Alligator mississippiensis: one gene and its partners. The protein of the gene in region 1 purifies or fractionates together with the protein of each later gene. This does not show direct contact. Links are inferred from orthologs where the notes say so. Each region holds a gene or a part of one and is shown in the gene's direction. Other genes may lie near its edges. The genes, in order: BACH1, HMMR, MAFK and XPO1.

Evidence for each region.
Region 2: the proteins of BACH1 (region 1) and HMMR purify together in Homo sapiens (affinity purification with mass spectrometry; 6 studies listed by BioGRID and IntAct, counting the BioPlex papers as one, with this or other methods). This does not show direct contact. The link is inferred for Alligator mississippiensis from reciprocal best matches to the Homo sapiens genes BACH1 and HMMR.
Region 3: the proteins of BACH1 (region 1) and MAFK purify together in Homo sapiens (affinity purification with mass spectrometry; 6 studies listed by BioGRID and IntAct, counting the BioPlex papers as one, with this or other methods). This does not show direct contact. The link is inferred for Alligator mississippiensis from reciprocal best matches to the Homo sapiens genes BACH1 and MAFK.
Region 4: the proteins of BACH1 (region 1) and XPO1 purify together in Homo sapiens (affinity purification with western blotting; 3 studies listed by BioGRID, with this or other methods). This does not show direct contact. The link is inferred for Alligator mississippiensis from reciprocal best matches to the Homo sapiens genes BACH1 and XPO1.

The regions. Positions count from the first base shown.
Region 1 is NC_081824.1:289,797,668-289,804,936, forward strand, and holds the start of BACH1 (transcription regulator protein BACH1), read left to right. Parts: upstream 1-4,256; 5' UTR 4,257-4,390; exon of another isoform or gene 4,391-4,435; intron 4,436-7,269. UniProt on the Homo sapiens protein: Transcriptional regulator that acts as a repressor or activator, depending on the context. Binds to NF-E2 DNA binding sites. Plays important roles in coordinating transcription activation and repression by MAFK.
Region 2 is NC_081832.1:56,347,403-56,354,661, reverse strand, and holds the start of HMMR (hyaluronan mediated motility receptor), read left to right. Parts: upstream 1-4,242; 5' UTR 4,243-4,378; coding exon 4,379-4,424; intron 4,425-5,577; coding exon 5,578-5,655; intron 5,656-6,227; coding exon 6,228-6,313; intron 6,314-7,259. Other genes in the region: NUDCD2 (nudC domain-containing protein 2), read right to left, coding at 1,030-1,078, 3,932-4,120. UniProt on the Homo sapiens protein: Receptor for hyaluronic acid (HA). Involved in cell motility. When hyaluronan binds to HMMR, the phosphorylation of a number of proteins, including PTK2/FAK1 occurs.
Region 3 is NC_081836.1:50,335,731-50,343,708, forward strand, and holds the start of MAFK (transcription factor MafK), read left to right. Parts: upstream 1-4,976; 5' UTR 4,977-7,978. UniProt on the Homo sapiens protein: Since they lack a putative transactivation domain, the small Mafs behave as transcriptional repressors when they dimerize among themselves.
Region 4 is NC_081824.1:212,302,474-212,310,440, reverse strand, and holds the start of XPO1 (exportin-1), read left to right. Parts: upstream 1-4,959; 5' UTR 4,960-5,098; intron 5,099-5,448; 5' UTR 5,449-5,466; intron 5,467-7,967. UniProt on the Homo sapiens protein: Mediates the nuclear export of cellular proteins (cargos) bearing a leucine-rich nuclear export signal (NES) and of RNAs.

The DNA.
Region 1 (7,269 bases):
GTAGGCTACCAGCACTGCTAAAATAATCCATTGTGAACATAAAACAGGGGCCTTTTCCTGGTGAGCATGGCCCAAGAGTTATGTCAATTTTTAGTCCACAGTATGAATCCTTTTTACTTGGAATTGCTTCTTCCCGTCAATAAGTCTGGAGACGGGAATGAATAAAACTTTTAGCAGACTTAAAATAAATGTCCCCTGGATTGTAGTTCTTCCATAGTGGTGTTTTCTTCTCAAATGTCATATGTGACAATTGAAAAGGATAACTATTCAGTCAGTCCTGCAACGCAACTTGTTCAATTTTAACAGCTCCCATAAAGTGGCTTGCTTCATATCTGGGCTTGACAGCGAACAGTTATCAACATCAGTGGGAGAATGAAAACTACTGGTCATAACAGATAGGAGGGTATACTGTATGAACTAAGATTCAGAATAACAAAATGTTGCTCTAAATGTATCAACTTTTGACTAAAAGAAAGAGATAATATTCTGCTGTCATGAGATTAATATAAGGAAATAGCTATCCTTAAGTCTACTTATCCAAAATGACCCATGTTATTTTGTAGTGAAACTTGGATAATGCCTCTGAAATCCATCAGCCAACTAAAACAACTAGTATTATAATGTGTATTAAAACACTCTCTGTCACCCTTCCTTGTCAAAATTAAAGGTCCAGAAGTTTGGTAAACATAATCTTCCCATGCATTTAGTAAAATATCATTCATGACATCTGATTCTGGTTAGATTTAAGTGCATTTTAAATATGCTTATGTAAAAATATCATTATCTTTGGTAACTATAGCCACTGATAAAAATCTACCTAATTAAAATGGAGGAGTTTTATAATACTACCATCTATGAATAAAGCATTTTAACAGATGGAGTTCCTTAACAGATGGAGGAAATTGCAGCTCAGTGAAAATATTTAGCAAGGTCACAAAGACTTCTCTAGAAAAACACCAAGGACAAAGGTGTTGGCAGAGGTATCCCATCGGTGGTAATGCTAGGATGGGACTCAAGAACTCCTGGTTCTACAACCTGTGGCTGACCCATATGACAATCTTTTCTTTTTGGTGGCTTTAAAAAAAATCATCATTCCTGATGAAAATGAAGTCTTAATAGAAAAAATAAAAAGCAAACTATAAGAAATAAAGACAGTAATTATATAGATAAAATTCCACAGCTATCAAATTAAAGGACTGAATTTGCTTTCATTTAAGTCAATAAATACCTCTGAATCCTGATTCCCCCATCCAGTCACATACTTGAAACTGTCCTTATCCTTATTCTGCAGCACATTTTTGAATGAGAGAAATATATCCCCCAATTCTTGGAGTAGGACATGAGCAGCTTATATCTGTATGCTCCTTTATACCATAGGCTCTTTGAGGAGAAAATTGTTGTGCAACCCAATCTCACTTTTGCAAAGCTAACCTAAGCAAACAAGTTTCATCTACTTCAGTCTATGCCGTAATATTCTTAGTTACAATAAGTGACTCTTATTCAGCAATACGAACTCATTTTACAGAACACAAAACATTTAAGCTCTTTTAAGAATACTAGTTGTGTTATAATAGCAAAATGAAAGGAGCAGTATTTGGGAACATGGATAAAATTGATGTGCCTGGTATGATAACAATAGAGAAAAACATACTCCACCTGAGACACTGTCCCCCTTTCACTTGTAAATCAGTAGCTTTGAAGGAAGCCTTGGGTTGTACAATAATCAAACCTGTTTTTGAAGCTTTTTCCATCCATGTGTACAACAGAAAAATCAGGGGTGAAACTTCCCAGACAAAGTAGAGATCACGTAGTGAACTATGCAGAAATGCCAAACCAAACATGCCCTGTGGTTGCAACTGTGCCTTATCTGTGCTTCCTTGTGCCACTCTGGGCAGAACTGGTGGGGCCTAAATAAAGACATGGGGGAAAGTTATGAGGTGACCTTACAAAAATAGACAGCCTAAATCTTCCTCAAATAACAAGAAATAATGTCTGAATAATTATCTTCTCTGTTAAAGAATGCTAAGATTACAACCAAATAGTTTAAGGCAAGAGACTAGATAAGCATTAGGAAAATCCAGGTGAATTCATCAGATTTCAGTGAAGCTGATATGATAACTGATAAGTAGACATGAATTGAGGCCCTTTGTCATTTGCAATTGAAAAAAAAATGGGTAGCTTGGTGTATAAATGATACCCACCGCACTGCATGCAGGTAGAATGAACCAATTACTAATCCCACTATGGCAGAGGATCCCCTTAAAACTTAGCCTTAGGAGTCCTGACTGGAAAGTAAAAGGCCTGTGACTTTTAGGAGTAGAAATTCAGCTAACACTGTATCTTCATAAAAAAATCTTTAGAACATTTCCTTATAAAAATCATAATTATACAAATAGTGAACAATGTTCCTTCAAACGTCAGTACTTTTTTTCTTCTTCAATAATGCTTAGTTTCAAGTCTCTACTTTAAGCTGTTTCTTTCAGTTATTCCAGGTACAATCATTTTACCCTGAAAATAGAGGGGACTCCCCCCACCTCTTCACCCACAGCTAACGTTAACTCAACACGATGGACACATCTTCCTCAAATAACTCAGAGTAGGCCTGAGACCAGGAACAGACATTCTCGTGTGTGAAAGCAGTATGAGAAAGTTACAAGCAACAGAAAAAAAAGGAAGGCTGGACAGAAAGAAGCAAGAATTCGGCTATAATTCTGCATTCACAGGCCATGATGGGAATCCTGTAATTCAAAATAAGGCATAACTAGTACATTATGTTTCATAATTAGTACATTATGTACATTAGTACATCTCCCTAATGATGGAGATGTACTATTATGTTTCTTTGCACTGTTACTCTTCTTAACAACCACCACTTTTCACTTGGGTTCAGGAACCAAGATGCTACGTCATGCACTGCATTTGTAGGGTTGGTGCAGGCAGGTTGTAGTCAAAAAACTAAAGATTCTCAGCAGCTGTATAAACTGTTTTTATTCTTTAAAAAAAAAATGTTAGAGCAGATGGATGACCTTTTAGGGCTGCTGTTCATTCCACTTGTTAACTCAAGATACCTCAGTAAGTAAATAACACCCCCCCTAACTCTAGGACTCTAATACAGCCACTCAAGTGGCAGTGGGTAGGGCTGCATCCACAGCAGTATTCCTGCTTCTTCAAGCCAGCATAGCCAGGTATTAAATATTAAATTATAATATTGGAAGCTCAAAATTATCATATTTTCTGAAAAACGATTGTACATTGAACAAGTATGAAAATAAGCATGCAAATAAGTTTTATTTACTTTGTATTGCTCCGTGTAACTCGCAAGTGAGTGAGTGAGAACTGGGTCATCAAAGTTGAAGCTTTTCTTTATTTTGAGGTAAGCAGTCATAAGAAAATGCTGATAGCACATCTGAAAATGGCACTGCATAGGGGAGGGTGCACCCTGTCCAGTGAACAGGACACCCAATGAGGCTTGTAATTAGCTTCCCATGGGAGGATCTCGGCTACACACCAACTTTATGGAAATGAACAACTCCTCCCTAGCTTGCTCCTGTGGCCTTTGGTTAAGGGCAAGTGCTATGCGGGGGCATCCGAACCCCAAGCCTCCAGGCCTTTGCCTGCATGTGGGATGCCCACCAATGGATTTGGGAATATCTGATGCTTGCTGGTTGTACGGTGTATGATGCTTGAACGATTTGAGTGTTGCTCAGTCAAGAGGATTCGGAACCGATTCTGCTTATTTGACCTGAAATACAAAACAGTTCCCCCCCAAAAAAGTATCCAAAAATCAGCTAAAGCTTCACTGAGAGTGAGGTGGGTTTTGCATATGCTGCATCAATTAGCTGCCTCCAAATTATCGTCAGCTTTGAACACTGATCAAACATCATACCTGGGTTGAAATGATTGGGCAGATATGATCATTATCATAACTCTGGCAACACGGCCTCGGCGTCCCATGGCAAAGACGTTTTATGCCAGCCCCAGCGGAGAGCGGCTGCGAGCAGGCGAAGGGTAGCAGGGCAGCTACCCAGCACGAACACTACAAGTCAGGCTATGTATGCTAGGAGCTCCTCCAGTGAGACTAGGCCCCGCCCCTCTCAGGCTGGTGGGAGGGGGGCGGAGAGCGGGGTCCGTCCCCCGCCCCCCGGTGTTGGTCGGAATGCGCATGCGCGGCGGCGGCGGGCTTTAGGCCTCAGAATGTCACTCAAGATAGCAACGCCCAATCAGCGGGCGGCGGGGGCGGGGTAAATGGTGGCTGCGCTGTTTGGGGGCGGGCTGGTTGGTCCTGTTGCGGGGAGTCATCTGACCGCTCTCTCCGCAGTCGGGCCACAGCCTGGACTGTGCGGACGATCAGTTTGGGGCTGTTGCTGGAAGAGGAGGAGCAGCAACTCAGGTTTGTGGTGGCTCGCGGGGAACAGCGGCGGCTGCCGGCAACGAGGTGAGCGCGGCCGGGCCCTAGCGACGCGCACTGCCCGGTGGGAGAGGCGCGCACCGCCTCGCCTTCAGTATTCGGGGGCTCGTGGGTGGACGCCGCCTGGCCAGTACCATTCGGGGTCCCGCAGGGGGGATGGTGTCACGTGATGCCCCCCCAGCTCTGAAGCTTTAGCCTGACCCAGGTCCCCGCCTGGGGGCGCCTGTGTGGGAGACACACATAAAGGCGCTGCCCGTAGGGGGGGGTGTTTCTAGGCTGCAGGAGCCACGAGGGGGTGGAGGTGCGCTTTGGGGTCAGGGTGTGAAGCGGCTTCACCTTGGCATGGGCATTGGAGCATCTGGGTGCAGCTGGGAATTTGCTAGGGGCAGGGGGAGGGAGTGGGGCTGCTTACCCACAGGCTTGCCCCTTGGCTTTGTTTTGGACCCAGGCATTGAAGGAGTCTTTGGGAAACAATCCTAGAAAATGAGTGCTGGAAGGGACCCCAGGAGGTCCCCTAGTGCAGCAGCTCTTATCTTGTGGTCACCACCCAAAAGTGGGTGGCAAGAATATGTGAAAGGATCATGAATAAACTTTAAAAATAGATTCTCCTGTAATGGAGAAAAACATGGGAAACTGTGGCTTTTCCCTTGCAGGCTGGCTGCTTGGAGCCCCTGATGCCCCACACATCCCTCCACATGCTGGGGGGTTGGGGCTTGGGTTGAGGGGCAAGAGGTCAGGAGTGAGCGGTACCAGCAGGATCCGGGGCTGTTTTCTACTTAAAGTTGGGACTGACCATTGATGACTACAAATGGGTCCTGATATAAAATAGGTTGAGAACTGCTGACCTAGTGCAACCCCCTGCTCACAGCAGGACCTTCCCCAACTAGATCACCCCAGCCCAGGCTTTGTTGAGCTAGGCCTTCAAAACCTCTAAGGATGGAGAGTGTACCACCTCTCTGTTCCAGTGCTTTACTACTCTCCTCCAGAGGAAGTTTTTCCTAAGATCTAGTTTCAACTTCCCCTGCTGCAACTTGATTCTGAAATCCAGTTGAGGGTTGGGGATGCAGAAGGCGTTGGGGTGTGTGGAGTCCTGGGAGAAGCGGGTTGGTCCATTTTTTTTTTTTTTTTTTTTTTTTAAACTAGTGGAAGAAAGTTCTCCACACAATGCATCGTTCAAGTGTAAACTCCTCGCCTCCTTCATTTGAGCTTCATTTGAGCTTGGGGCTCCTCACCATCAGGAGCTGACGCTGTAGCCAGATTCAAAATGGGATTGCAGCATGGGATGTTGTGGTTAGATAGGAGGAAAAACTTTCTCCCCAGGAGGGTAGGAAAACACTGGAATAGGTTATGAGAGAGGTGGTAGACTCTCCCTCCTTGGAGGCTTTTAAGACCTGGCTAGACAAAGACTGGATTGAGATAAAAGATTTAGGGACGGTCCTGCACTGAACAGGGGTTTGAACTCCCGAGGTCCCTTCCAGCCCTCATTTTTCTACAATTCTGTAAAATTCTTGGTTGAAAGGGGCCTCAGTGGCGATTGAGTATGGAAGTGAGGAGCACAGCCTCTGAACCAAAACTTTTTCTAGACCCTGAATGCTGGAGGCTGCAAGTGAGAGAGGAACAGTTGGAGGAAAAGCCCTGGTCATAATCTGTTCTCTCTCCCTTCCAGCCTCTGCTCTCTGCCCATGTGACATGGCCTTTTGATATGCCATAATGTGACACGGGCCAAAGCCCACCAACTAGAGCTATATTGCAGTAGGGATTTGACCCCCACCCCCTTTGGTGATGGGGGCCACTATGGGCATATCGTTGATTATTTGGGATAACTGAAAGCCAAAACAGGGATGGGAATGAGGGTCATAAGTTCAAAATGAGTGAACTGAGGGGGGACACCAAGGAGACCACCCTGGATGTATGACACAGGCCTACTTGTTGCCTTAAAGGAATTGTGGGCCAGTGCCCACTACGAGAAACTAAAAGCCTCCCTTATAAAGGGAGGCCACTTTGAAAGCAGCAACTCATTCCGTGGGAACAACTGAAAACATAACAAGGACAGGAGCAGGTTCAAACTGAGTGCACAAGGGAGGGCACTGAGGAGAGCACGCCAGATGTGAGAGACAGGCCTTTTGACATGCCACTGGGGAATCATGGACCTTGGGCCACCAAATGAAACTATAAGCCCCCCTGCCACTAGGAGCATGTCGCTGATTTCTTGGGACAAATGATAACAAAACAGGGATGGGGCTGGAGGTCAAAGGTTCAAGACTAGTGCACTGAGGGGGGACACGGGGCAGAGCACACTGGATGTGCGACAGGCCTATTTTTTGCCTAAAGAATGCAGGCCAGTGACCACCAGGAAACATTATAAGCCTCCCTTAAAAAGGAGGGCCACTAGGTAGACAGGAGTGAGGTCCAAAGTTTCAAATGAGTGCAACAAGGTGGGATACGGAGCAGAGCACGCTGAATGTGTGACACAGGCCTATCTGCCACTTCAGGGGTTTGTGGGAGGAATGCCTACCACGTGAAACTAAGGCCCCCTCAGAGAGGGAGGCAACAGGGAAAGTGGCAGCTGATTGCTTGGGATAAATTATAACAAAACAGGGATGGGAGTGGAGGTCAAAGGTTTAAAATGAATGTGCCAGGGGGGTATAGTGGGATTTATTTGTGACGGGATCCTTAGCAGGATGGACTTATGGTCTGATCCAGTGAATGTCAATTCTTAAGTTCTTAAGTGCAGTGGTGTGCAGGAACTGCAGTTATGATAGATGGTACTTGTCCAAGAGTGAAGTAATACTATACTATTTATTCTTTAACTTTAAAATCATATTTCAGATTTTTGTCCCCCCACCAAAAATTGACCTTGG
Region 2 (7,259 bases), on another chromosome or scaffold:
CCACTAGAACCAAGTCCTACAAGCATATCCTAACTCTTTAAAGAGGGAATTTATATCTTGTAACTTCCCATCTCCATCACAAGCAACAGCAGTTAAAGAACTACTGTGGTTGAGGATAAAGCATTACACTGTGGTAAAGGATGAGTGAGAAACCAACAAGAAAAACAGTAATTATATGCCCCATGTTTCTTGAAGAAACTTTTCCCAGACTAATTATTATGCCAGTACAGTAAAAGCTGCCTTAACCGGCACCTTACAAGCCGGCATGCTGGCTTGTAACGTAAAAGCGAAACCGGAAGTGCCCACCATGGCACTTCTGGTTTTGCCAAGCCCCCATGGCCTGGGGCATAGTAGCTTGCATGGGGGCCGCCCTCACTGTCCCTCGGGGCCTGTGGGAAGGTCAGCAATGCGGCGGGAGGGTCTGTGATGTGGCGGGAAGGGCGGCGGCCCAAACAGGCAAAGACACCTGTTTGGGCCTCTCAGTTAACTGGAATATTTTGTTATCCGGCACCCCCCATTCCCCATGGTGCCGGATAACAAAGCTTTTGCTGTATATAAATAAACCGTGCTGGTTATTTTTTAAATTAACAGTTATTCCACTAGAGAATTCGAACCCAATTTTTCCAGGGATTTCTCTTTCAGCCTCAATCTATACATTTAGGTGTACAACTCATGCTTCATACAAGTACAAGATTAAGTTATTTTATCTAAGTCAATTACAAGCTCTCTCCTCCACAGCATGTGACTCCTGATCTTCCTATCAACAGACTAGTTAATTCCCATTAGTTTGGCATAATGTGTATTAAGCACTTTTGCACAGGGAGAGTCAGACTAACTGTATTTTACATTTCATCATTTTTTGTTAAATTACATGCCAATCTTATGTCACAGCTGAAAAATACACTATTGAAGAAAGCAGAACAAAAAATAAAAGTATGTGCCTGTTTTTCAAAGCCAGATTTTTAAAATACAGTGAGATGCAAACAAAAAATGTCTCTTTTCAATATTTCATTTTAAGCATATTCGTACCTAATGTCCATGTCCCTTCATCAGCTATTGTAGAGTCAAAGAGTTTACCCTGAAAAAGAATTATAACGTTACATAAAACTGATACAATTTTTAATGCTAATGAAAAATACCAAGAAAAAAGCAAGTCTGCTTTCAGAGGAAAACAGTCATTGATTTATGCTGTATCAAAATTTGAGTGTTGCTACAGTTTGAGTGTTGCTATTAGTAATTGCTAAAATAGTTAATAGCAACTAAAAATCAGGACACAATGCCTGCCTTCCATATCTACAAGAGCAAGATTACAACTCAGAGTACAGACTCAAAGATATTTTTCAATTTATACACTTCATCCTCATACACAACAACTTCACTTTCAATAACCAACACTTCCTCCAGACCGTAGCACAGCTATGGGTACCAAAATGTCCCCACAGTATGCCAACCTTTTCATGAACTACCTAGAAGAAGAATTCCTCAAGGACTGCACCATCAAACCCTTGCTATACTTAAGATATATTGATGACATCTTTATCATTTGGACTGAAAACTTGCAATTGATTTTTTCATCAGAAATTCAATAATCATCTCCCCTCCATCAGGCTCTCTCTGGAATACTCCAATACCAGCATTTCCTTTTGAGACATGATGGTCACTATCCAAAATGGAAAAATACAGACCACCATATACAAGAAACCCACGGACTGCACTGAACCATTAATCACCCTAAACATACCAAGAAAGCTGTAATATACAGCCAAGCTCTCCGATACCACCAAATTTGCACTGAGAACACCTGTGATCCTCACCTCACACATCTCAAAAGGCTTTCACATAACAAAGACACTCCTCCAGAGAGATAGACTGTACTTTTGAAAGAGCCATCCGGATACCACATGAAGAACTGCTGCAGTACTCCCCATAAATCACACACCACTGGTTATGACATATCATTCCTCCCTGGAACCTATATGGAAAATTCTCAAACAATTGCAACCCATACTAGAAGGAGACCCTATTCTTAAAGTGATCTTCCCAGAACCACCCGTTCTATCATTTAAACAAGCACCAAACCTTGCCAACCTCATCACCAGAAGCAAACTTCCTATGACCCAAAACATGGTGAACGGATCCACACCATGCCATGACAAGAAATGTAAAACCTGCCAACGCATCTCCACCACCCCCACAACTACTACATGTCACAATAGAACCATCAACATTCCAGGATCTTAGACCCGTACCTCCGGAAATGTTATATATCTCATCCAGTGCACTAAATGCCCTGATGGAAAATATGTAGGAGAAACCAAACAACAACTGTGCACCAAAACGAATGCACACCGAAAATCTGTCAAAAAAAAGAATATCAATTACCTGTGGGTGCCCACTTCTCACAAGAAAACTATTCTCTCTCCAATCTCAGTTCTAATTCTCAAAGGGAATTTACAAAACACCTTTCACAGATGAGCCTACAAACTTCACTTCATCAACTTACTGGATACAAAAAAAATCATGGATTAAATACAGACATTGGATTTGACACATTATAACCTGCCTAACATTCAACTCTCCAGGTAAACCCTCTACTTTTTACCAGCTATTCTCATTCCCTTCCCACCTCCCCATCCTTTGACTACAGCTACATTCATTCCCCTCCCCCCCACCTGTCTCTTACCCACTGACCAACCCAATTTACATTTTAATTGACTGGCTTTCTTGCATACCTACTGGCCTCTGGCTGCTTTACCACTCTATCCAGGAAGAACACAGACCATCTGCAGACGCTTCCTCTGCCTGATGAAGGATAACTGTACCCGAAAGCTTGCAAAGAAGAATTTTTCCAACTATCTGAGTTGGTCTAATAAAAGACATCAGATTTACCCAAAGTACCTTGCCTGCCTAATATTTTACAATGCTTTTTTTATAACAATACCCTTCTTATAGTTAAGCGCTTAAAGAGAGGGACTTTGCCTACATATCCTACTTGAAACATTTAGCAGGCTAGCACAGTACAGACACTTCAGAAGGAGAAGCAAATGATACAGTGTTAACACTTAGTTCATAAAGCCCTATACCGGCTGTGCTCTACTGGGCGCCTACAACAGTGGGTCAGCGCACGGGCCTCATCTGGAGTGAGTAATGCTTCACGGGCCCTTCAGCGCTTGCAGGGTTGTTGCCAACTGAACAGAAGGGAGGCAGCTACACCCAGGTCACATACTTCTTCCCAGTAAGGTTTCTCTATCTTTGTTTTTCATAAGTCCGGTGGGGAGGGGTTCAACCCTGTTTCTGGCACAAGTCAGCCCAGGCTGTTTCCCTCCACTCCAAGCAGCGCTTACTGAGGCCGGGGCCAGAGCGCTGCGGCCTCCGGAGCTTCGTGAAGGCTGCTCGCTCCCAAGGCACCCCCTGCCCGAGTACAGTGCCACAGTATGGGCCCGTGTGGCCAGGAGGGGGTTCCCCCTCTCCCCACACAGATCCTACAGCTGCTGTCTGGGAAGCTGTGTGGCGTGGTGCGACGGAGCCTGTGGAGCTCTTCGGGAGCCTACACCGACCCCGTACGGTTGTCAACTCTGTTTGAATTCATTCCGAGAGGTTTCTGAACATCAACGCGCCCGTGACAATGCGAACGTGCCCATGTGCTTGTGTATATCAGCTACTGATTACAGTGCACAGACTTCACACCAGTAAGGCAAGCGCATGTTACTATTACATTTCAAAAACCCACTGGGATACTGTATAAAATCAGATTCAACATTGAATATTTATCTGAATGAATGCCCTATCATTGATCTCCAGGGTGACTCTCAGCAGCCTCCTGAAGATTTGTATCTCGTTCCCGGAGACGCGAGGGCAAACCTGGAGAGTTGGCAACCCTACCGCCGGGGCGTCTCCCACGGGGCCTCCCTCCGTCGCGGGCCCGCGGTACCTGGAGCACGTCCTGGCCCTGCACGGAGAGCGCCAGGCGCTGGCTCTGCAGGCAGCACCGCACGTCCTTGGCCCGCGTGCCCGGTGGCACCTGCACCTCGATGAACACCTCCTCCAGCGTCTGGTACCAGCAGCCCCAGGGCGTGGCGCAGGGCACCACCCCGCTGCGCTCCTCGAAGGGAGCCGACATCCAACCCCGCGCGGCCGCCCCCTGACACCGGAAGTGGCCAGACGCGCAGGCGCACAACGGCGCTAAGCCCCAACTTCCGGGTGGTTTCCTGTGCGTGCTCCAGCCGGCGGCAGGAAGGAGCGGCGATTGGCCGAGCGGCTCACAGGTCGAGCGCTGTGATTGGGCGCCGGGGTTTGCTGGGAGAGCGGTTAGGCACTTTGAATCCGGCGCCGGGGTCGGCGGTGGCTCAGGTGCGCCGCGCTCTGCTGCGGGGCTGTCATGTCCTTCCCCAAGGCGCCGCTGCGGCGCTTCAACGACACCGCGGGTGAGTCCCGCCTGCCGGCGCTTGCCTTGCCCGCGGGGTGAGCGCGGCCGCCTGCAAAACTGGGGGAGCCGGGCGGGGTTTGCTTTCCTCCGGTTCTTTTTTCCTTTTATTTCACTGTACCCGTCTCCCCCTTCCTGGCAGGGGGCGCGGCGCTGCCCGGGTTGATTTCAGATCCGTCCGCTCCTCCGTGCCGGGGGACGGTGGCGTTGTAACGTGCTCCCCAGTCGTCGGGGCCGGACCCGCTCCGCCTCCTTCAGCTCCTCCTCGTGACCCCCAAGCACTGCCCGGCGCAGCCTCGCTGCTGCCGCCCCACAACACGGCACCCCTAGAGTTTAACGTGTAGTTGTAGGGGCAGGTTGGATGGGGATGATCGGGCTAGTTGGACTAGCTCGATGGTTCTCAACCTATCCAGTGCTATTTGTAAACCTCAGTGGCCAGCCCTGACCCGCTGTCCCAAACCCCCAGTGTGGGGGAGTGTATGTGGGGGCGTGGGCAGCAGCCTCTTGAAGGCTGCAACAGTGCCAGCCTGTAAGGGAAAAGCTGCAGCTTCCCACGTTTCTCTCCTTAAAAATGGATTCTCCTTTAAAAGTTTCTTCGCAACCTTTTCATATGTTCTTCCGACCTGCTTTTGGGCCACGACCCACGGGCTGAGAAACACTGGACTAGATGATCTCTGGAGGTCTCTTCCAGCCCCGCTTCTCTGTGATGCTGTGACTTGCCTGTGTTCTTTTATTTGTGCCTTGCTCTCGCAAGAGAGGAAAATTTTTCAACAGGATGAACTTGACACGGGCGGGGGGGACACATGACATTTTAATTAGAGCAGCTTCAAGAGCCACTCTAAAGCACCCACAGCATCTGATGTATTCAGTATCCTGCACTTCAAAATAGCACCAGTGGCTCTAACTAAAGCTCATTCGGGCCATTTTGATGCACGGAGATGGTGGATACGCAAGACGTGGAGGCTGCTGGAGTAATTCCAGCACAGTAAAAGCAGCATCTCCGCACATCTACAGGCACCCGAAGGGGCACTGAATACATTTGTTCATTGTGGCAACCCATCCACAAACTTAATTCTCTCCCTGTCAGGTTATTCCAGTGTTCTCTGCTGTGCCAAACATCACTGTCATTTTTTTAACTTGCATCCCATTGCTAGGGTCCCATGAAGTCGATTCCTCAGATGCTGTAAAAGGCCCTATGATCTCTGACAAATCCCACTTCAGAAAACAGAAAGGTAAGCAGTGCCATGGCTTGACACTTGGCAAGCTTTGGAAGTTTTGGAGATCTTGCAAAACAGAAATTGTAGGTGCTCAAATGCTGCTGCTTTCCTTTTTTTAGTGTTTTGAGATTTTTCAGTGTTTTGCTTTTTACTCCATGATGATTGCTGATTATTAGAGGGCTGCTGACAATTTGAAAGTATGCTTCTTTGTATCTCTTTCCCTGGTGGCTTTTCATGCATCTGCTTCACTGATTTCTTCCCACCCTGCCTCCACCACCCCTTAGTGTAATGTGTTTGCAGTAATTGTTTTTCTTTTGAAGTTATCACCTCATTGCAGTGTAGCAGTGTGTGAGTATGGACAGGGAAAAATAAAACAACACTTTTAGAATGGACTACCTGTTGGAAGGACCGATCTGATTCTTGTAGTGCCCAGACGTATAAGGCTGGTGTATGCACTTGCTGAATGTAGACTAGTAAAAATAAGTAGACTTGGGATTTGAGGTGGATGAACTCAAAAAATATGTCCTTTCCCCTCCCCCCCCCCAATGGTTTGCTTCTAATCTAATTTGATAAAACTTTCTGTTCAGGGACAATGGAAAATCAACAGAATTTGAACAGTGAAAATATGCCTTCTCCCACACATAGAAGAAAGTTCCTTTCTCTTGGAACAGTGGTAAGATTCTATTTGCTATGCCAAAGGTTCCCAAACTTTCTTATTGTGTACCCCCTTCCAGATTTGCCAACTGCCTGCATACCCCTACCAGCATATGTTTTAATCCCTTAAATGTTAATTATTATTTTAATGAAAATTAAATCTATTACGCAATTTTTCCCATGTACCCCCCAGAGATGTCTTGCATATCACCAGGGGTATGTGTACCACAGTTTGGGAACCCCTGTTCTATGCCACTATTTGCACTGTTGCCTGAGTAAGTGGGTGACTGGAGCTGGAGAGCTGCATGCTTCTTCTTGGGAAGGAGCAGGCAATGAACAGCAGTTCAGGTGCTGCTTCTCTTTAGTGTGTGGGGTGTCTCAGAATACCTAGCCTCTGTGCCCCTAGAAGCATAGGTCTAGGAATAGAATCATAGACAATTTAGTTTGGAGGGGACCTCCAACCCCCTTGCTCAAAGCAGGACCATCTCCAACTAGATCATCCCAGCCAAAGATATGTCTAGCCAGGTTTTAAAAACCTCCAAGGATGGAGTGTCTGCAACCTCTCCGGGTAACCTGTTCCAGTGTTTTATTACCTTCCTAGTGAGAGGTTGTTTTTTTTTCCCAAAGATCTAATCTAACTGTCCCTTGCTGCTCCTTGTTCTGTCATCTGCCACTACTGAGAATAGTCTAGCTCCATCTTTTTTGGAACCAACTTTCAGGTTGTTGAAGGCTGCTATGAAATCCCACCCCAGTCTTTCTCTTCTCCAGTTCCCTCAGCCTCTAAATAAGCCCAGTTCCCTCAGCCTCTCTTCATAAGTCATGTGCCTCAGCCCCTAACCATTTTTATTATCCTCTGCTGAACTCTTTCTAATTTGTCTACATCCTTTCTGTAGTGGGGGGACCCAAAACTGGACACAGGTCTCCAGATGTGGCCTCGGCAGTGCCAAATACAGGAAGAGAACCAC
Region 3 (7,978 bases), on another chromosome or scaffold:
TGTGACTGACGCGGATCCCTGCGGTGGCATTAAAAATACCCCCCTGCCCAGGCATGCTGAGCTCTGGTATTCAGCCCAAATCACCGAGCCTTTCCTCTCTGCACCGCTATTTTGCTGCCCCCGGGGCCTGATCCTTTGGGTCCTAAGCAGCTTACATACACGTGTCTCCTCTTGACATTGTGGTTGCGGGAAGACAGGGAGGTCTCCCAGCTTGCAGCACTTCTGCCTGCTATACCGTAAAACTCCTGAGAGAAGCCCCTTCGGAGTCTCTACCGCTTCTGCCTAGTAGCAGCTCATCAATCCTACCGTATTGCATGCGGCTTGAAGTTCAAGTTATTTCTACCCAAACCTTTTCTGTTTATAGCCAGAGTTTTAATAAACTCCATAATCAACAATATGGTATCGATGGTTACCGGGTCCTCTTCATTGTCCAAACACAGTGGGAATTTGTAAAGAGGATTTTAAAGCTCATTACAAACCTGGATAAGTCTTATGATCCCTGCTTCCCAGATGATACTGGGTCAGGGGCTTGTTCAAGGCCCCCTAGGCCAGCGGTTCTCAACCTTTTGCATCTTACATCCCACCAACCATTTTGTCAAATGGTCCCACCCTATGTTACATTCACTGGGGAACAGAGAAAGGAGAGCTTTTTTCTGCTTATTAATGAAAGCCAACAGGAGGTAGTTCACCAGAAAAATGTAACAGCCCTTTCCACGTGCACTAAACAGAAGCCAGAAAGAAGTAGCTATTGTGAATGGGTCACCACCACTAGCTGTGTAATTTCACACTGAAAAAACCCTGTTGCTTACAAGTGCAGACTGGCCACAACATGGAAAAGCCTCTCCCAGCCACCTGAGCAGGCTGCCGGCTAAAGTGGGCTTCTCCAGAGAAGCAGAGCAACTTTACCAAGCTCAGGGACCCAGCCCTGCCCCTTTAACTGAGCCCTTTATTAATGTGATCAGGCATGGCTCTCACCCAACACCAGACAACGGTTTTCTAACCCAGCTGTGACTACACCAGAACCATACTGCAGGCTGCCTTCCCCTATCCTGTGACAACCTGGTATTAAAAATCCCCCATGCCAAGGTACTCTGGGATCTGATATTCACTCTGGATGTGGGAGCTCTGTCTCTCTGCTCCATGCTAACTTCAAGCAGCCACAAGGAATAAACCCAGCATTACTGGCCCCATACTGTGAGTGGGCACAAAGAAGCTACAAGCTGCCCTTGAACTCTGAGCCCTAGGTGTGTGCGTCCACATCAGGTACACCCACGCCTGGGACTGCAGTCCACAGCGGGAAAGTCCACCGCAGGGTTTTAACAGGGTGCATAACCTTGGGACACATGAAGACCAATGGCATTGGCACCTGGGCCTTAGAGCTTTGGAAACTTTAGCCAGCCTGGTTCTCTCCGTTCCAAATGGACACGACTTCTGCTTGGGAGCAGTGCTGTACCTAGACGCCTGGTGGTCCTGGCCAAACTTTTAGTATTGCCTGAGCCAACCCTAGGGTGGTGCAGGACACAAGGCAAATCAGCCTGTGCGGGGCCCCCTTAACACTGCATGGGGTCATGGTACCCCTGCAAGGGGTGGCTCTCCGTGCTTCTTCCACGGCACAGGGCTGAGCCGCCAGCTCCAGGCAGGCCCCATGGGAGGGGCTGCAGGCACTCCGCCCGGCTCCGCAGGGCCCCTGCAAAGTGCAGGGCCTGGGACGGTCGCCCCGATCCACTGTACCCTAGGGACGGCTCTGAGTATTGGGCCCCCTTCGCCAAAGATAATGATTTTTTTTGTTGTTGCAAAAGTCTTTATCACATTTGTGGTACTGATGTATTTAAATAGTTCATTCTCAACTGACAACATTGCCAGTCCCATATATGCACAATATTAAAACTTTTTTTTTGCAATTGTGATTTTTTTCCCCATTTTTGGGCTCCCTCTTTGTCTGGACCCTGGGCAGCCACCCGGTTCGCTCATGCCTGCGTCCAGCTCTGCTTGGAAAAAGGGAAAAAGGAGCAGGAAATGAAAGCCAATAAATAGCCAGTTCTGACTCCTTGATCTGCTGCCTCAGCAAATGTTAGAGTAGCCTGGAGGGTGCTCTAAATTATGCTATTTCTATGTCTTTACAGGAACCATCCTACCAGTTGAGGGTACTTGGAGCACTTAAGGGTCCAGCCACATTTCCTCCCTGCTGTTCTCACCCTCCCCTGTGCCTTGGGCTGTTCAAAGGAACATGAAGGAGCCAGATATGCTGGCTTGACACCTCCCCTTGTTACTGGGAAAATCCCAGCAGGATTTTCTGCTCCCTTCACTACCCGAGCTGTGCAAAAGGGGGTGGCGCGAGACAGAGATTCTGGCTCAACATATTGATGATGTTTGACATCTTTGACATGACATCTTTGGCCCTCAAGCTGAGCACCACTGGCCTAGATTGGCAGGTAGTTTTTCAGTTCAAATATAGTCACAAGCCTAATCACAGAGAGACTAAAAGCCTGGTGTCGATATACAAAACTCTGCATCTTTTTTCATTAAAAGTCTAGGCTAGTTCACCCTGGTCTAAAATTGGGAAGACGTAGTGCTCTCGGGGGTCTAAAATGTTGCTCGCACGGTCGACGCGACGCTCAGCGACGAGGAAGCGCCGCCACAACTCGGGATTTCGTTGGCCAGTCGCAATATCCAACGAACGGTTAAATCCCCGGCTCCTGAAAGCAGACACCGGGAAACTTTTGCTTTTAAGGACAGATGTTTCCTTCCTTCACCAAGGATTTGAAAACACCAACCATCCGCCAAAAACCCCAAAGCCTTTAGGTTAGGAAGGAGGTGATTTTCGTGACTGGGGTCACAACTTCTGCACGCGGGAGGTGGGCGACAAGACGAAGACGGGACCAGCAAGTCCCAGCGCCAATTCTGCGGCTTTCCTCGCCTGCCCTAGCCTGGAGGTTGCTTCTTTCTTCCCAGGAACCTTCCCAGGGACCTCGCTTGCCCTCGCCCAGATGTGGCAACTGGACACGTGCCTTTTTCTGCGGCCTTGCGGGTTGCGCAAAAGCCCCCGGGGGCGGCTCCAGGAGGAAGTGCTTGCAAAGCAAAAGAAACTGAAACCGAAACAGGCAGGGAGGAACAGGCCGGGGGAAGGGAGGTGAGGTGGGGGTTCCTCCCCGCCACGAGCCAGGGAATAGTGTAGCAGAGGCTCCGACGACCCTCCGCCGGGAGCCCCGCGCGCTTCGCCAATGAGCACGGCGCCCGACCGCGCGCGCGCTCCGCCAATCACGAGAGCCCTCACGCTTTCTCCCTACCTTCCACATGAATGAACCGCGTGGGCGTGGCCTCGTGACGCGGCGGCGCCGGCAGGGGCGTGGCCGCGCGACGCGAGCCGTGACGCGTGGTTCCCGGAAGCGGGGCGGGCGCTGGTTGGCCGGGCGGGCGGGCGCGGGGGGCGGGGCCGGTGCGGGGCGGGGGGGGAGGGGGCCGCGCTTGTTGTTGTTCCCGGGACTGGCTCGCAGGGAGGGCGGCTGCGGAGCCCGGCCCCGCCGCGCGGGTGAGGGGGGCGCGGGGCGCGGAGCGGGGCGGGGGTCGGGCCCGGCCGGGCCGAGCCGAGCCGCTGAGTCAGCGCGGGGCGCACGTGGCCTGGGCCCGCTGGATGCGGGGTCGGCCCCGCCGCGTGACTCAGCACGGGGCGCCCGGCCCCACCCGGGGCTCTGCTCCCACGTGGCCGCGGGGCCCGGGCTGGAGGGGGAGCACGGAGCCGGGCTGGGGGCTCAGTACCAGGGAGAAGCCCCCTCCGGAGGAGGGTCCCCAGGGCTTGGCCCCCGTGGCCTGAAGAAGCCCTCGCCTGTTGCACAAAAGTTGGGCGGTTTGGGAAGGGGCGGGATGCTGCCTGGCCGGGGTCCGCCTGGGTCTCGAGAGGCCGGCGAGACCCCGGCTGTGCTTGGGTGGACCTTGGGGGCGCTGGAAACGAGCCAGCGGGTCCCCGGTTGTGCCCTGCGCGCCGTGCTCGGAGACGCGCCCGGGTCGCCCTGCGTCGGGCGGATAGTAGCAGAGGGCGCGTTGCTGCGGGAGAGCGATGGAGCAAGTGACTTCTTGGTGGCAGGGATGGGAGCGACGGCCCGGCAGACCGAGGAGGGGCCGTGCTGGAGGGGTCCCTGGCTGGCCGGTGGGGACGCAGGCCAGCCGGGGACGAGGTGGCTTGCTGGAGGGGACACCTGCCAAGTAGACCGGTGGGGTTTCGAGACCGCGCCCTCCGCAGAGGGCGGGTGGGGCTTCCTGAGAACCGCTTTTCTCCCCCTGAGCGGGTGGTGGGGTGGGATGTTAGCTCCGTGGGGGTGGAGAAGCCTGGCTTCTGCTCCCTTCCCCCCCGACAAAGGAGTGGCACTAGTGAGAGAAATGTCCAGGCCGCGAGGGAGGGGAAGTGAGACATGTCTGAACTCTAGAAACATGCCATGGTCAGTTGGAGAGAGAGCTCCTTCCTCCTCCTCCTCCTCCTCCTCCTCCTGTGGCCAAGGGGTGCTGGGACTCTGCTTCCCTGGGCTGTGCGGGGTGGAGGAGAGGGGACTCGTTCTCCAGCTCCTGGAGGAAAGCAGGCCGGGACAGCTCCACTTAGGAGCAAGCGCCCTTTGGGGAAAGTGGCAGTGCAGGAAATGGAAAAGCTGCCATTCCTTCTCTGCCCTCCTGCCCCCTTCCTAGCTCAGCTCTGGGGGCCGGGGAGAAGGCAAAGAGGTGAGAAGCCAAAATGCCCCTGTGCCACCAGATCCAAAGCTGCACGTCTTATTATTGGAGGTTCGGTCCCTGGGCGCTTGGCATGTGCAGGCAGGGGCACCCCTGCTCCCACGCCAGCCCAGCCAACATGCTGTGCCGCGGTCCTGCAGTGGCTTAGTATGGAGGGAATTTACCTTGCTGCTTGCTCACTGATGGAGCCGGTGCTTGCTCCCTGCTCTCTGTCTCTTCCGTGTATACACTGTAATGCAGAGTAACCTTCCTCCCGCAGTCACTTCCTAAACATGATGGATGCTCCGGTTATCCAATGGCCGTGCCTAGCATTGGCAGCACCGAGGGGAGGGAGGATTAACCCTGTTTGTACCTATCCTGGTGACAATATGGAGGATGTTTTTTTCAGGGAGGAGATGGTTACAGCAGGGAGAGGGCTTGTGGGTTTTGGTTAGCAAGATGCTCCACATACTTTAGACTTTGGGGCTTTATTCCTGCACTTCGGGCTAGCTGTGTTAAATGATCTTGGGGTAATTCATATGCAACCTCAAGAAGTATTTTTAAGTAAGGCTACAAGAGGTCCTTCATATTGGGGAAGTTTCACCTATGTTCTTTCCCCAACCTGTTGCAGCGGTAGTGGTTTAAACCTGTGTCTGGCTTGAAATAACTAACAGAGTTTAATGGTGAATGAAATAAAGCCTAAGCAGCCGAGTGTTTATAATGGCTTTCTGAAGCCCCCTGGTTTTGCACTGAAACTTTGTAACAGTCGGATGTTTGGGAGGGGAAGCAGGGACAGCTGGAGCTCTTGGCCCCCCAGGCGGTATGGCAGGCAGTCAGGGCGGGTGGGATAAGTGCGCTTGCAGCTCGTTTGAGTAAATATGCAGCTGCGAAACTCTCCAGCAGTGCTGACGCTTGCAATTATCAGGGAATTTCAGGCTCAGCCCCCCATCAAGAGGCGCAGGCGGTTTATGCTCCTTTCTGGGCTGTTGTTTCAGGCTATCTGCAAACTCGGGCAGATATTGCTGCATCGCTTTTTGCTGCTTCTCTCTTGTTTGGAAGGCTGTCTCACTGTGGGCCTGGGATGCCAAAAAAACTTTTTTTTAAGTAAATGAAAGCAATTATCCTGCTGCTCAGCTCTAAAACTGGGCGCATCCTGCAGCACGCTTCGCTGTCTCGCAGTCTGGGTGCCTGAATAACCATCCTCATGTCTGTCATCATTCACATTCACATGGAGGTGGAGGTTGGACTTAGTCCACGGGGCTCAGGAGAATTCACAAGCCCTCATCTCAGTTCTGCCTCTTGGCCCCATAGAAATCGCTGACCACGTACTACCTTGATTTCCCCAGGTCACAAAAGTACTTTTTCTGTGCTATGGTGATGTGGGACTTAACTCATTTTTGCAGTGTATTTTCGTTTGATCACTTCCATAAAACGCACTGTGGGGAGGAGCGCTGCCCTGTGTCTGCTGTGTCTGAAGCTGTGAGCAGTGTATCCGACCTCTTCAGTAGCTGCCGTTCCCCCTCCCTCTTCCCCCCCTGTAAGTCCAAGGTCTCTGTAATGTGACACACAGGCACACTCTCATGATAGCCTGAATCGGCCGCTCTGTAACCATAGGCTCTCTGCAGCATCTGACTAGGTTGTTTACCAAAGCATTGAAGACTGTCTGATCCCTGTCCAGGCTTCCCCCGAGAGAGCCTCCGAGTCGTGTCCCGGCAGCTCTCAAATTCTGTCTGAAGGTTCCTGAATCTGTTCTTTGCTGGTGGATGCTGGTTCTGATCCATAAGGGAAATGGAAAGCTGGCCAGCTGGGCGAGTTTAGTGTGTAGAAAGTAAACAGTGACTCACCCCTCCCTGGTCTCTTCTCTGGGCTCATGGAGAATTGACTGCTTTGCATGTGTTTGCTGTCTCCTTGATTCACATCATCAGCATCCCCCCGCACCCTCCCTTCATCCAGATGAACGACAAGTGTCAGTTTGTCTTGCAGAATGCATGAGGACTGCTGAAGCAGGGGGAGGACCCGGGGATGATGGGAGGGATGGTGCTGTCTGCATTTCACACTGCAGCGTGTTGGAAATCCATGTCAGGTCTCCAAGGGGCAGAGGCACAGAGCTTGGGGCTTAAGCATCTGCAGTTCCCTTCACCTATAAGACCTGATGTCCTCCTTGGTGGCCACATTCACGCGGCCAGCTTTGGAGAAATGGTCGGCTGATGTGACCATCTCGCGGGTGTCTCCTCTGGTGTGTGGCGGTGCGATTGTAAGATCTGGGTAAGTGTGTGCTGCTTTCGGGGTTGAAATGCTCTGTGTGGACCAGGAGGAGGGTGGGAGGTTCAGGCTTCTGGCAGCAGCGGGAACCAGGACTTGCTGCCTAACCTCCAATAATCTGACCGCTCATTGATGGCTGCTTGGAGCTTGAATGTGGAGGGTCACCAGTCTTTTGAAACTTTTTGCCTTTATGTCCCTTAAGAAAGGGAAAGAGGGCCAAGTAGCTTGTGGGTAAACTGGAAGTGTGGATAGGTTGCTGACCAGCTGCCTTACAAATCGTCTCACTGTGTTTTGGACTGGCTGGAGGCAGTACTGCTGATTTAAGCCTCTGGGCAGAATGGAGATTCTTGATGTGATGAGTTGTACAAGACGGAGAGACCTCTACCATGCAACCATCCTGGCATGGCAGTGCTCCTAGGGAGGAGAAAAGCGGTCATTGGCCCTTTTGGGCTGAGGATTGTGCATCTTCACATTGCTGTCCTTGCCGTCTCGCGTGTGTCTGAATGGAAGCTAAACGCTGATGGGGCTTTCTGCTGGATAATTTTGTCCTGGCCACTGTTCCATTTTGGGATAAATGGGTTTTAATGTTCAAGGCTGTGTACAAATTACTCACAAGTGCATCCATGCCTGCTGTGAGGTAGCAGCTATGACTGTCACTAATGCATTGCTTTGTAAAGTGCTTTGGGAGCCCCAGCATGTGAGGAGTGCTATTTAAAAACTGATGTAGTCTACTGTGCTCTTCTTCCTTGCAAGTCATCTCACATCGCAGTGCACTCCTGCCTCTATCCACTAGTTAGGGCTGTCTATCTCCCCTGTCTTGAGCTGCCTCTAAGAAAATTAGTAGGGGTTATCAGTGGTGCCAAACCAAAACCACGCAGCTTGGAATTCTGTCCCGGATTCTCCTGACAATGTTGACAGTGATAAGGGGAGGTGAACAAAGGTATTGGGAAGAGTGCCAGGGGATCATTTTCGTCTAAAAACATGACATCACTACAACAAAAGCACTTCTTAATACTAAAGA
Region 4 (7,967 bases), about 77 Mb from region 1:
ATAAACTTCCAAATTATGATACCTTACCCTTTAACTGGCCAAAAATACCCAAAGCTGAAGATTTTTTGCCTATCAACCCATGCTACAGAAAAGCTGCTCATTTAAATTAGAGATGAACCATACAGATCTTTTAAGAGAAGTGGAGAAAGAAATATATTTTTCCATTTTTAAGGTGCTTCATTTTTTCAACTGGCACTTAAAACAGTCTCAGCTAAAAAATCCAGTTCTTTCAAGTAGCCTGTCCTTGGGAACAAGTATCTTTCTCTGGAGGCATCATGCATAAAATCAGTTATTTACAACTCTAATAGTTCCATCACAGTCCTTTTTAGTGTTCAAGACTGAAATATCATAATCACTTTGTGTTCTAGAGCTAGTAGTTCTACTCGGATTAAGTGTTTAGCACAATGAAATGAGTACACAGACTTTAGTCTTTGGCAGAACCAGCCTGAAGAAAAACTAATTATATATTTCTATTCATGGATTCAGCAGAATTGGCTTTACAGACTCTGGGGGCATGCAGACAGTTTCCTTAGATCTATTCAAGCCTGCCAGTTTAAGTTCTTTAGTAGAACTAACCTGGCTGAAGTTCTCAGGCGCAGCTTTGATGAAAAGCTGGTGAAGTTCCAGTGCACAAAGATATATATATATATATATACTACTTTTAACAGCTGTCATCTATAATGCAGTTAAATTTGCATAATTTATAGAAACAAATTGTTCCAGCTGATAAGGTTACTAGCATTCTTCGTTAAATTTAAAAGCACATACCTAAAGTAATTCTAGAGGAAATAGACTTTGTTAGAGAAGAGGTAAGACTGAAAATATACGTCCACTTAAGGGAGAGAAGTGAAAAAAGCCTTTAAGATTTGCTGAAAAATACAAAGTTAAGAAATAACTTAAAAGCTGCAAAGTATAGAAATAAGGAATGTTTAGGAAGTCCAAATAATCTCAACAGTTCTTTTTAATGTCAGTCTATTTATTTAGTGTTACCATTCAGAATTAGTTCAGATAAATGCTTCAAAATAACATTTTCTGGAAAGCACATCACCCTGTATGGGTGCCTTTGTCACTGTCCACTATCAATTCGTGCAGATTACTCCTGTATCCAACCAACTCACAGCTCAACTACATATCTAAATAAGCCATGGGCTGGGGATATGAGGGGCACTGGCAGACAGGAGGGAAGGGAGAAGTTATTTTACAACTATAGACATCTTAAAGTCTTCAGACAAACTGGGGGAAAAAAAAAACAGGTGCACCAATATATCAGTGCCATATCAGATCGGCACTGATAAAAGGAAAATTAACATCATCGGCTATCTGCTTTTTTGGCTGGTGTAGCCAATGTATCAATAAATATAATGTGTCTTCTGGCTGGGGTCCTGGATGCTGTGCGTGCATGCAGCTGCAGCATGCATGTGGCCAGGAATGCAGCCAGGCAGCGTGGAGACCAGCACCCTGCAGTTAAGTCTCTAGAGGGGAAGGGACATGGGGAGGGGCAGATTGAGGCCCCAACAGTGAAGGAGTGGGGCAGGGGCAAGAGGCACTGCCCAGCTAGAGCAGTTAATAGGACCAAAGGCTCGGGCAGGGAGCAGGATGGAGTTGTGGGTGGCATGTCTAGGGGGCATGGAGTGGGGGAGAAGGGGGTGGCTCCTTTGGGGGAGGAATGGGGGCATGTGCCCTGTGGCAGAGCACCTTGGAGCGTAGTCTTTTGGATGACATCTGTGAGGTATGGGACACTGTATAGAGGAGACTTAAGCCACCCTAGGCATTGGGACACTAAATGGGCTGCCTCCCACGTTTTAATATATAGTTTAATACTTCAAGTCATGACAGGTGAGATGGGGCAGACTGTCCTAGACAGGTGGGCAGGCAGACATCGGGACTGGCCTCATGATGGCCCCGTTACATGCCCCCCTGAATTTGTGTGCGGGGTGAGGGCAGATGGAGGCTGCCCACTGAGGTCTCAGGGCTCCCACCCTCCTGACCTTGCCCTGCGACCTACAGCTCTGTCCTGCAGCTCGCCCAAGCCCCAGGGTCCCATTCACTGCTCTGGCTGGGCAGGACCCCCAATCCCAGACCCTCCCCCTCCCTCACCGTGGGGCCTCGGTCTGCCCCTTCCCCTCCACAGACTTACTTGCAGGACGCTGCTCTCCATTTTGCTCAGCTGCTTTCCTGTAAATCAATTATCAGATTGGTATTGGCCAATATGCCTGGTGAATAATTATGCCTGGTGAATAATTGGCTATCGGTATTTGCCAAAAAACCTTTACTGGTGCACCACTAGAAAAAAAACCAACACATGGTTGCCATGATGTTTATATATCACAGCCTACTTACCTTAGCTTAAGTAACAGGCCTCCTGGATGCCTCTCTCAGGGAAATGGAGAAAACCACAAAGACAATGAACTAGATATGATGCAAATACACACAGGGACAATCAGATATGGAAAATAGCTCTTGGTGGAGGAGCATGGGGTCACTTTAACCACAGTTCTATGTTTTACAGTTTATTTGTAGATAGTAAATATTGGAAAGTCGGGAATGGAGGGCTTACCTTTTTCTTTTTAAAAAACAAAAGCCTTTCAGTTTCTTTTCCTCTTAAATTATATCAAACCATAGAAACCTGCTTGACAGACCTGATACAAGTAGCCTAAATTAAGCTTCTCTGCAGAAACACTACAGCCAGTTACACATGATAGACTAGTATATGCAGTGATGTCAGGTGCTGCACCAGACTCTTCCCAAAACACCTGTTAACTTGTTCTACCATTTAGTAATGTCACACTTGTATGATCTCTACATTTTTCACTTTGTAAAAACAACAGAACTAGCTGGTTCTCGCAGAAACATTTTTGTTAATGTTCTTCAGTATCTTGTTACAATTTTTCTTCCCTGGACTATGTTGTTTTGATGACTGACTGTAAGATGATGATTAGTTTATTCATTATCCAATATATAGCCAGATGTAGAATATGCATATTTTATATACAGTCTTTCATGGAAATAATGCTTATTTCCAGACGGGGTGAGGAATCTTGGTAAGTTCTAAAGGATCTAGTGAGTGTGCGATATACTCCAACTACCAGTGAAGTGCCTGGAACAATGTAGTTAAATAAAAAATTATCATCTCTAACTAAGCATTGGCTGAATTCTCCTCATTTTATAAAAGTTACTAGGAATAGAGTGACAGCCATACCATGTAAGAGGAAAAAGCTTATTAGACGTAATCTTTCCAAGACAACTAATCACTTGATTTGGGGATGGTATTTTAAGACACCTTAAAACAGTGAGGACCAACTTTTTGGGCAGGTGTGCCACGTAAACCTGGAAAGCCACTCTGATCTTTCCTCTACCTGATCTGCTGTTCAGTTTTCTGCTCTCTGACCAAACTTCTACTCTACTTTTTGCCTGTACTCCCCACTGGATCTATTACTCTGCCTTCTGCTCCCTGCCCTACCTGCCACCATGCTGCCTGTCCTTTCCCTATATGCTACACATAGAAGTGGCCTATGCCACTTGTAGCATGCATGCTACAGGTTGGCCAGCCCTGCTTTAGGAAACCCTGGTTTTCTGAAGAAAACCCTGGTTTTCTGAAGGTAATCCTGAAGAGTCAGACTTCTGGGGTGGGGAGTGTCTCCAATTTGCCATCTCAAAATCCCTGGTCAGTTTTGAAAAACATACAAAAGTGCATAAATGAAGATGCACAAGTTTTCTTCTTCCAGTGTCACTACACCATGTTCCCAAGTGTCATCTGCAAGAAATGCTGCGAAACACAGAAATAATCCCTCTTTACATCTGCCTTTGGTAACAGTACTTCGCTTTAGAGATTATGCGGGTTCTTCAAAGAATGACCAAGACAGTGAAACCCCAGGTACAAATGCCAGGGAATGTGGAAGCCCAACTCGTGCCATGACAGTTCAAAACCCAAATCAAAGAGGTCCAAGAAGGCACCAAGCGAGGGTTCAAACCTTGTGCTCAGGAGAGTTTATCATTCCTCTCTCTCATGAGAAAATCACCCACTGACTCCTCGATTTGCATCTTAACTGACGGCCTTTCTTGCATGCACACCAGCCTCTGGCTTACTATCCATTCCCTCCAGAAAGAGCGTACACCAGCTGCAGGGGCTTCCTCATTCTGACGAAGGGTATTTATACCCGAAAGCTTGCAAAGAAGTTTTCCAACTATTTGCGTTGGCCTAATACAAGATATCACATTTATCCAAAGAACCTTGTCTGGAAACGTTGAGCTTATTTCTTAGGACAGAAACGGGTTTGCAAGTCAACCTCTTGCACGGACCTTCTCCTAGCATGGGTTGCAGCTGCAGGGACTGAGGCTACTGCAGGGACGAGCCCAGGGATCTACCCCGCTTCCTACAGAGCAACGGGCTCCTACAGCCCTCTCTCCACCCCGAGACAGGCAGGCAGCGGCGAACAGACCGCGCTACCCTGCCCCGCTGCGCAACGCCAAGGGGCCCCACCCCTCCCCCCAAGGCAAAGCCAAGCACCGCCCCTCCCTCCACGCGCCTTTGTGATCACGCACCCCCACTCCACTCGTACAAGCCCGCCATTAAAAAAAAAAAAGAAAAAATAAAAAGAAAAAAAGCGCCGCTCTCTACCTCTACGTCATTCCAAGCGCCCAGCCAATCAGCAACAGGCCCCCTTCCCCCGCGCCCGCGGGGTTGCGAGCTGGGGGCGGGCTCGCGCTCTTTGAGCGACAGCTCAGCGCGGCCAGTGAGAAAGCAGCACCACTCCCCTCCTCCCCACCTCCTTGCGCGCTCAAATGACTGCTGGGGAGGGGGCGGGTCCTCTCCTCCCCCCTCCCTCCCCTCTCAGCCTCGCAAGAGATGGGCAGGCCAGCCGGCCAATGAGAGGCACAGCCGCTTGCGCGGCGGCCCCGGCGGGAGCCAATGGGAGTGGCGGCTGGGCGGAGGCCCGAGGTTTCCAAACGCTCCGCGGCGCCATGGGCTGAAAACTAAACCGAGATGGAATCTCCCAGTCTGAACCGGTTTGAGCCGGTTCCGAGCCTGTGGCACTAGGAGGGGGAGACGCGCCGCGCTCAGTCCCTACCGCCGCCGCCTCCGCCACCGCGTGTGCCTGTGTGTGTGGGGGGGACCTGCCGCCGCTCCGGGAGGCCGAGCGCAGCTGCGGAGCCGCCGCCGCTCCGGGGGGAGGGACATGGGGGCGCAGTGAGCGCGCGCGGCCCCGCACCCCCAGGCCCGGCCTGGCCTGGCCCGGCGCGCAGGCGGCGGGGGGAGCCCCGCGCACGCAGCCCGGCCCGGAGGCGGCAGCAGGGGCACAGTCGAGCCCTCCCGGCGGCGGGCGGGGACCCACGTCCACCCGCCCGCCCGCGGGGCAGCAGCGGCCTAGGCGCGGGGCGGCTCCCGCGACTTTTTTTTTTCCCTCCCCTTTTTTTTTCCCCCTTCATTTTTTTTTTTTATTTTCAAAGGCTGCCAGCTCCACTCGGGTGAGTGCCGCGGGGGGGAGGAGGCGCGTGTGCGGCAGGGGCGGCCGCGGGCTTCGCGGAGGGGTTGAGGGAGGCTGGCGGGAAGCGGTGGGGTGCGGGGGGAGGGGGCGGCGGGTCGGGATCTGCAAATTATTAGGAGTGGAAGTTTCCAGAAATATTTTCGTGTGTCTGTGCAGCAGGATTGAAACGTCCCCCCGCGTCACGTGGGGGCCTGTGTGGAGCGCGCGGCTCGGGCGGAGGGAGGGGCTGCAGTGGTGGCCCTGCCGCCGCCGTCGCGCCGGGCCTTGCCGTCCGTGCCCGCGCCCGCGCAGGGGGGGGGGGGCTTGCATCAAAATAATAACGATAATCATGATGTGTTTAAGGAGGGATGTGGTGTCCGCGCTGCAGTGGCGGGGGGAGGGTGCCTGGGAGCTCCCGCTGCAAGCGGAAGGCTCTTGCTTTGGAGGGCGCTGGAGCCACGCGGCGGGCGCGCACGCGGCTTTTTGCCTGGAAAGTTGCTTTCTGGTGGCCTGTGTGCTTGAATCCCTGCCCCCCCCAGCACGTGTGCACATGCAGGCGGTTGGAGAGTTTTATTAGGGATTTTGTGTGCGCGGGATGGAAAGGAGCTGATTATTCGCACCCCTGGTGGGTGGGTGGGTGGTTTCACATGTGACTTGTCCTTGCAGGTTGGGCCACTTCCTAGCCTAAAATGGGGCGTGGTGGGGATTTTCTGCTAGCCCTGTGCTTAAATGAAATTACTGTTTCCCCCCAAGCCTTAAGCAGTTGTCGCCTTTTGTAGAGTTGAATTTGACCTAGAGGTTATCCTTCCTTCCCCCTGCTCTTTGGAAGTGCACCCTATTCCAGCAGCCCAGGTCTTTTAGAAGCAGGGTGCAGATCTGTTATGTAGCCACAGACTTTGCTTTCAGCACAAGTGTTTTTGTACTTCTGCAAGGCTGCTCAGGCTTGGCTCCACTGCATGAACGGTTGGCTCATTCTTTTGGGCTTCTATAAACATCTGGTTCTTTCCATGTGGCCTACTTTCATTTTTCATTGACTTGTTTAGTTGTCTTTCCTTTACTTGTTTTGCTGTCAGTATCCAGGTTTATTAGGAGTGTTTTGAGTTAATCTAGTGCAGCACTTGGAGGTAATGCTTAAACTCTGCTTTGGTTCATGTGGGGAGGTGGTGTGTAGTAAATCAAACGTTACAGTTCTGAGGTAATCATTTCGGCTAGGAGTAAGTAAGGAATCAAGTTGATCAGAGGGAGGCTGGCATTGACCACAAAGCCGCCATTTCGGTACTTCACATCAAGACTAGGTAGGTCATTTGAAGATAATGCTGGGAGTGGCAAAGAGCTCTAATCCGAACATTTCCTTTCTGCTTCCGTGGGGCTAACTTTCCTTAGTCACGTGGAAGATGAAGTGTGTTTTTACCACTTGTTTTAAAGTGGTTGAAGGAGATTTAAACTTAAAATAAATGTGGTTACTAGTGGAATATGTTGATTTAAATGTTGGCTGAATTGAAAAACGGCTACCCTGTTCCCTGGTTAGAGAGCGCAGATGCAAACTGAAAGGGGTGTGTCTGACTGAGTGCATTTGGGTGAAGAGGGGGGTTATTTGTTCTTAAAGATTGAATCGATTGGGCGGTTTTTTTGGTTTGGTGTTTTGTTTTTTGGTTTTTTTTTTACTAAATACTACTTACTGCTTTGTCTGAGGTACAGTTGAGAGGGAGTCTTCCAGAGCTAAAAGGAACTAAGCGTGTCAGTGTGCTTGTGTACTATTCAGCCTATTTTACACTCCTGTATCTGTCCTTTGTATAATCCTAAAGGAGGTGTGGAATCCAGAGAAAAACATGACAACTATGTAGGATTTTTTGAAGTCTATAAGCCACTTTTTTTAGATTTGGTGTATATCTTTCTGGATAAACTTGTCCTATACATGCTGGCATTTACACTAAAAATGCTAACGATGCAAAAATGTAACTAAAAATTGAACGATGATATTCATGTGTTGCCACCATGCTGAATTAATGAATTTCATGATTTTAAAGCAAAGTTCATATATTTCTCATTGGTATTTAAGTAGTAGTATTCTGTTTTATCTATAAATAGAAAACCTGTTTAGCATTATTTAGTTATATAAATTGGAATGAGGGGCTTTCTGAATGAGCCTTTTTCTGCAAGATCTTTTTTCATATTGTGCAGCAGTTGCTTAAACTGTATCCCAGGTGTATGGCTGTGTTCAGCTTTGAGTTTAAAACTTAAATGTGGAAAGCCTAAATCTGTTTCTTAGTCATTCAGAAACCAGTAACTTTTACACATAGTAGACCCTGTTGTAGGTTGCAGGATCCTTTCTAGGAGTGAGTTGGGTCCAGAGGCAGAGGAAATGGTCATAGAAGTGGACAAGTTTTAGTGCTAAACTAGTTGGATCTAGTTTTGACCACAGGGTACTAGGTAGAATTAGTTTGACTGCAAGGTGATAAACATAACTATATGTGCTTGTCATGTTTGCATTAATGTGGCATT